2 linked regions of the Oryzias latipes genome follow. The protein of the gene in region 1 purifies or fractionates together with the protein of each later gene. This does not show direct contact. Links are inferred from orthologs where the notes say so. Each region holds a gene or a part of one and is shown on either strand. Other genes may lie near its edges.

Region 1 (3,752 bases):
AAAGACAGACGTGTTCAGGGACGAAGGAGGCCAGAGAAAAACAGATCCATCAAGAACTTGGAATGCATTTGATGCACGGATGGATTCCATTACGGCCTTCTGACTAAAGAACACCTTAATCTCAGATTAAAAGGCAGATTTAGACCTTTCTGCAGCCTTAAACAGGAGGGCAGAGATGCTGGATTGGGGAGTGAAGCTGATGTTTCTGCATGTCATTAAGCAAACAGGTCACCTGATGTGAGCACCCACCATCTTGGGGAGTCTCTGCGTGCCTCCGGCTCCAGGTAAGAGGCCCAGCATGACTTCAGGAGTACCCAGAACTGTCTTCTTGCTTTTGGTTGCGATTCTGTACTGACAGGCGATGGCAAACTAAAAACAACAACAAACAAACAGTGACAACGAGGCCGAGTTCACCTCCGACAGGACAACAGGAAGCACTCACCTCCAAGCCTCCTCCTAAACACGAGCCGTTGATGGCAGCAACCACAGGTTTGGGAGATTTTTCAATCTTCTCGAACATCTTCTGGCCTTCCTGAGACAGTCTGCTGACCTCCTCTGCGCTCTTACAGCTCTGGATCATGCTGAAACGCACAACGTTTCCCAGACTCGTCACCGGATCCACACCCAAACAAAGCGTGGTTACTCAGGAAAGCTGCTAAAGCGCCTGCAGGCCGACACCAAACAAAAGCTTCGGCTGCAGGGACTCTTACTTAATATCGGCCCCAGCGATGAAACATCCAGGCTTGGAGGAGATCAGAACGGCACTTTTGACGGCGTCGTTGGCCCACACTTCCTCCATGACTTCCGTCAGGTCCTTTTGCATTTGCGTCGACAGCGTGTTGACCTGAAGACGCGCCGCAGCTAAAGTCACGCCATCGGAGTCAAACCAGCCGAGTTTGAGTTCTCACCTTTGAGTTTGGATCGTTGATTCGGACCACGGCCACGTCATCCTTGATCTCATAGTTCACGTGGGTCCGAGCTGCGAAGAGAGCAGACGGGGAAAAGGTCAAACGCCGAAGAACGACGGGACCTGAAGGCAGCAGGAGGGGAGTTACCTAGCATGGCAGGAGCCAGGGAGAATGAGCGATAGATGCTGCCTGAAAGAGAAAACACAGTGACAGTGGTTAGTAGACTACAGCTGCAGCTCTTTTCCCTTATTTAGGCTGTTTTAGCTCTGGAGCGGTCCTGTGGATAATCATGCTCGGTTTGCTTCCAGCAGAAAACCGGAGTGGCCCAAAACGCCTGGGAGAACCGTGCAGTTCCACAAACTGCTCATCTGGGGGCGCTACTTTCCCACGACCTGACCAAAAGCAGGAAAAGAAAAGCGAACCAGAACAGAAACCCCACTCTCTACAACAGAACCTGAGTTCAGGTGAGCTATCAAACCAGAACAACCCTTAAAAGAAACCGGGTCTGGATCAGACCAGAACCAGACCTGCCACAGAGAATCTGAGTCCTTCCTATGAAATGCTCCCAAAAAAAACAGTCTGTCTCGAAAACACACCTGTGGTACTCTAACAACATGTTCGGTTTCACTGAGGTGTCCTCGTGTGACAGCCGTGACCTCTCGCGCGCATGCGCTGAGCACTCTCCTCGACAATGACCCTTCACCTACATTCCCCCCTACAGACACAATGGCGATGAATGACCCTCACTTTCAGACATTTGCCTAAACACGCGCCAGATCAGAACGGATCTGTTAAACCCGCAGCCAGAACCGTAAATGGACCGGCTCGCTCAGGCGGTTCTGAATCCTAGCCACGGATCACCATTGATTCCGTAGCAGGAAGCTAATTAGCACAACTTGGAGGTTTGCGCTGCGGCTTCACGGACCAAACAAACCGGAATCTGTTTACGTTCGGAGGGAAATCCACGAACTAGTGTTTTACGACACGTTTTCTTTGAACGACACCAACACGTTTGCTTAACAGCACCGCGCTCACTTCTGCGAAGCTACAAGCTAGTTGTCTCTGTGGGAACAGAAGCTAAAGCAGACCTCGTTATCTATTACCAAGTAAAACTCCCGCCTGCTCCTCGCCGCCGTTCAAACTCCGCAAAGGTTTGTTCTACCTGAAATAAGAGCATATCTCCTCGCTGACAGCTTGGAGAGAACACCAAGGGCTCGGACACCAGCCATGTTGGGAGCGGAGGTCAGTGTGGAGCAGAAGACTACAAACTCAGTCACTTCCGGAAATGGATTTCTCCTGCTAGGATTTCATTGGTCGCTACTGGAGAATGCGGGCTTGTTATTGGCTACTTCTGAAGACCCCGTTTTTGATTGGAAGTTGTGGGTCAACACATTCCTTGACACTGAATGTCGTTTTTACAGAATAAACGTAATACTTTTCTTGAAGTTCTATACATTTTTTCACCCCCACAACTTTTTCAAATATTTAATTAGATTTTTTGATTTTAAATGGTTTATTTAAAGCAATCAAAGCAAGAATAATGCACAAAACAACACAATCTGCAGTCATACATTCATACAAAGACGTATCAAACTTAGGATAATTAGACACTAAATCAAATTATCTAAAATATGTGCAGATTATTTTCATTAGAAAAATCCTAAAATTAAAAATAACACTATATCAGAAAATATGATCTGTTATTGTCTACATTTAAACTGTTTGACAATATAGCAGTAAAATCCATGCAGTGATTTACTATTCTACACATTTCCTTTCATTCTTTGGTCACACATGAAACTTTCCTCCACCTTTCCAACCTTTCCACAGTATCATCTGCAAACATGATGGTCCACATAGATTCCTGTCTAACCTCATCCGTCAGTCTGTCCATCACAGTGGAAACAAGAAGGAGCTCCAAGCTGACCTTTGATGCAGCCCCATCTCTGTCACCCCTACAGAACATCTCACCACTGTCTTCCAGCCCTCATCCGTGGCCTGAAGATCTCCATCGTTCTTCTGTGTCACTCCAGACGTCCTCATCCAAACCACAGCTCCTCTCTGGATCCCGTCATAGACTTCCTCTAAATCTACAAAGACACAAATCTGCTTCTTCTGACCTTCTATTTTCTTCTCCAGAAACCTCCTCACATTTCTAAATTTAGCAGGAATCCGTTATAAGTAAAAAAAAAAACAACAACAAAAAAAACAGTTTCCACTTGACATTAAAATAAACCCGACTGGGAACATGCATTCAGTACATGGAAGCTACCAAAGGGGGCAGTCTGCATCCATTTAGACAGATCTTTCATTCAAAGTCGTCCAATTTGACATTCATGTTATGACACTAAAGTTTAATTGTCTTATGTTGACATTAACGGCTCTTTTTGTTTAAATGTTTGAATAACTGGTTCATTTGTGGAAACTGTTGATAAGAACATGAGGCAGAAACAAACTTGTGGCTGGAACAGAAAACCCATTTTGGCAGAGCTGTATTCTCACCTTTGCAGCATATGTTGTCAATAAATAAAATGTATGGGAAAAAAAACACTAGCTTTCACAAATGTTCTGACGAGCAGTTTTCTCTTATAATAGAACGGGGCCTGATCACTGCTGCTCGGTTCATCAGTATTGTAAAACAACTTACAGGCATTTTTATCTAGATTTAAATCTACCGTTGATTGTGTGTGTGTGTGTGGGGGGGGGGGGTAAAATACTTTATGTTTGGCTTATCTTATTTTTTTTAACATAGCAGATAAAAACACATCAACATTTTAATAAGAAAATTATTATTTTAGCGTTTTAGAAATAAAAATATCAGAAAAAAAGAACCGACGAGGCGCA
Region 2 (3,652 bases), on another chromosome or scaffold:
AAACAATAATTATTGAAACTTTGAATAATATTTCAGACTGTTTATTTTTGCTTTTATACGTTAAAGAAATATAATGCCTCAACGATCAGACATGGCAAAGATCCAGAATCTCACGCTGTATAAGGCCAATCAATGAAGATACAAATCTAACAAAAGGTAATATTTAGAACAAAACATATTGTTTTTCAAATTCAGGCAACAGACTGTCAGAGTTTTATTAGCCAATAATCCACAAAAAGTCCAATAACATCTGTTTGACATCTTTCTAAAGGAATAGGCTTGATTATATAAATGGTAAAGACTGTATTCTTATCCAGTGTTTTCTGCTCTTTTCTGCCTTCCATGAAGTCCCAAAGTACCTTACAGTCACAATCACAATTCCATTCACGCCGCACACACTGCTGCTGAACACTGGCATCCACCTGAACATGGGGTTCAGTGTCCTGCCCAAGGACACTTCAGCACATGGGCAGGTGAGGTGGGAACCGAAGTGATCTTCTGATCAGAGTACAATCACCCTACCAGTGCACCACTGTCGCCCCAGTATACTTTAAAATAAGTAGACTTCATGGCCCATACAGAATTACACAACAAAACCTGAAACATTTGCAGGAAGCAGAACAGCTGGAAAAGAACAGTATTAAGGAAGAGCTCTTGAATCTGTTGCGCTCGGCTTAATATGTAGTAATAGGTTTGGTTGGAATGTGGTAATCAATTCTTACTGATATACAAAAACAAAGGCTTCTGTTGTCTTTTTTTGTACTTTTGTCTCGAGTTTGATTTATGTCATGTCAGTGTTTGGGCCTGGTTTCAATTTCTTATCATCACAGCGTGCTTGTCATTCTTCATCAGTAACGTCTAATCATTGATTTTTTTTTTCTTTTCTGCCAGACACTTGTCATTGGTTTTGTGACTGGTTTCTGCAAATATTTTGGTTCACGTTTTTTTTTTATTGTTTGAGTTTTATACTTTTAAAGTGTTTTTTAGAATATTTTCTTTGCATCCTCACCAGAAACACAAAGATATTAAATGATCATGAACTCCAGTGTAATTTATTTTGCATTATTTAAAAAAAATTAATTAACCACCATTTTTTTTACTATTTACAGACAACTAGTTAATATGAATAAAAAGTTGATGAAAGTTACAAGCATCCGTTAAAACATGAAATTATGATAGATTACATGTTTGCCTAAATAAAAATTTCCTACTTTTAACTAAATTGATCCCTTAGTTCCAGGTTTAGATGTTGAGGTCTCCTGCCTTTCCCTAACCTGCTAAATCAAGGCTTAAGCTTGTAAAAAAAAATGGCAATTCAAGAATCCTCAGGTCTCTATAAATGGGTAAGATACTACCAAACAGAGGAAGGGTGTTAAATATGTCAGGTCAGACAGTTTTGCTCTGCGTGCCAAAGTCAGCCAAGGAACACATATCAAACAGAGAGCTTCAACTAAATTCCTTGACGTGCATCCAAATCTTCTATATGTTGTTTTGTTTTTATTTCAGTTTTTATACTGACACCTTTTTCTAAAAATAATTTGTAAAATTAAGTTTTTTTCTTTTTTGAATTCCCAGTAATATAATTTTATGTAAAAGAAAAAATGTGCACATCCCTTGGGGCCACATCTTACACCAGTTTGCCTGTCCAGTGTCTGACAGGACATATTCACTGAAACATCAATACCGGCCACCTCCCTGAAATGATTTCTCAGTCCCACACTCGTCTTAACCTTACTCTTGTCTTATGTACAGAGAAGACCATTTCTCTTGGGATATATTAATGCTCCCCGCAGCCTAGGGAGACATTTTTCAGTGTGAAGTTGACATTAACTGTTGTTGCAGGGGCTGATTGTCCGCACCGCAGGCCATACTTTATGGAGCCTCTCACTTCTCCCAACATTGATCTGCCAATGCTTTATAGTGTGCAAGTGGGCTGTGTGTGCAGAGATGTTCACAAAAAGAAGAAAGAGTTGCGATCACTAAAAATAAAAGTACAAGGAATTTCATCATTGATAAAAAAATAGGTGACAGCAAAATATGCATATTTAAGTAAGATTTTTCTTTGAAGATTTTCTATGAAGATAAAAAAAGGAAAAAATAGTTTAAATGAAAGGGTTAAAGAAATGTGAGTTTAAGATGTAAGGTTTACCTGAGACACTTTGCGAACCACCTCTGCACTCTTTACTAGTCCCTGTAGAAATGAACGTGCTGCCAGGAGTGTGCGAGTCACTTCTCCAGACATTTTACGGGGTGTTTCTCCAAAAGGTCTTATCGTCTCAATCTGCTTTGACAAACACTCCAGGTAGTCTTCACCTGAAAGGAGCATAGACATTATTCAAAATCTCTTTTATAAGGTGCCATATATATTTTTAAGAAAAACTGTGAAACAAAAATCTTTTTAAAAAGTAAATTCAGCACTTTTTTTCTTTTTAAAAGTGGCCTTTCACTCGCAAATCGAGTAGAAGGGATCAAAGTTTAGTCTAAATCTGAAATTAATCTGTAATGAGTCGAGTCTTTGTTAAAAATCAAGGGAGAAAATCCAGTAATTTGTTTTAAAACTGGCAGTAGTTTTTTAAACAAAGATTGCTTAAGCCAAATTGTAACCACCACTTTGAATTTGTAGTTCCATGTATAAACATACCTAATGAAAATTGCTTGTTTTTCTGATAGACGAGCTTTTCCAGTAGCTTGGCCCAGAATTCATTTAGGACTTCTTCCAGGTTGACACTGCCACCTCGGCAGTAGCCGCTTAAATCATTGTACAGGTCAGAAAACACCTGAGTATTCATCTGGTACAGAAGACCCCAGGTTGAAGTAAAACTCTTCTGCAGCCTTGCCATGGAACGATTCAGCAAGTCCAAGAAGAAACCTAAGAAAAGAAATAAAGGAAATGTCAGTCTTTGAAGAACAGGGAAAAAGCACTAATGCTACAATGTTATTGTCCCTATTCTACGTTCACACCAGGCTCAGAAACATGCACTTGAGCCGCTGATTTGCGAGATTTGCATTGCTTAGTCATTTTGCACCAAGCCCTTTCCAACTGTGAATATGTGCCCTACTATCGGGTAGTGACACACCTGTGTGAACATCATATGCTAAAAGTGCGTGCAAAACCCCATGTTCAGCACGTTCTTGAGTGTGCCACCTATGCACAGTGTGTACGTGCCAATAGATTCACAAATAGTTGTACTTTTCTTTATAGAGCAGGCCAAAATTACATAAGTTAGCATCTCTATATTCCAGTTATTGAAGGTTAAATATGATCATTTTTACATAATACATACAAAATGATCACCATTTTTTTATTTTAGCTATATTGTTGACTGTTTTGGTCCTGGGTCAGAACAATACTCACTTAACATAACATTTGGTGTAACAAGGCTTGTAGAGTGCCAACTATCCATTTCAAATAAAAGTACAAAAGTTCTGAGAAGTGAAAAAAAGAAAAATAAATTAAAGGATTAATAAATATGAATATTCCATGCTTTGTCCAGACCACATGTTAAACATAGTTGACCTTATTCTAGTTAAGATGAAAAGAAAAGGGTTTTTGCTTGGCATTTGTGGTATGAGCCTAATTGGGATAAGGATTGGTGATGTCTTTCATATGTTGTAGTTGTTGATCTGTGAAAAAGCTTTTTTGTCCATGGAA

The links.
Region 2: the proteins of hadha (region 1) and glypican-1 purify together in Homo sapiens (co-immunoprecipitation; 3 studies listed by BioGRID and IntAct, with this or other methods). This does not show direct contact. The link is inferred for Oryzias latipes from reciprocal best matches to the Homo sapiens genes HADHA and GPC1.

Annotation. Positions count from the first base shown.
Region 1 is NC_019880.2:962,440-966,191, reverse strand, and holds the start of hadha (trifunctional enzyme subunit alpha, mitochondrial), read right to left. Parts: upstream 2,200-3,752; 5' UTR 2,138-2,199; coding exon 2,071-2,137; intron 1,098-2,070; coding exon 1,056-1,097; intron 980-1,055; coding exon 909-979; intron 845-908; coding exon 711-844; intron 582-710; coding exon 443-581; intron 370-442; coding exon 250-369; intron 1-249. UniProt on the Homo sapiens protein: Mitochondrial trifunctional enzyme catalyzes the last three of the four reactions of the mitochondrial beta-oxidation pathway.
Region 2 is NC_019875.2:23,932,553-23,936,204, forward strand, and holds part of glypican-1, read right to left. Parts: intron 2,870-3,652; coding exon 2,642-2,869; intron 2,314-2,641; coding exon 2,150-2,313; intron 1-2,149. UniProt on the Homo sapiens protein: Cell surface proteoglycan that bears heparan sulfate. Binds, via the heparan sulfate side chains, alpha-4 (V) collagen and participates in Schwann cell myelination.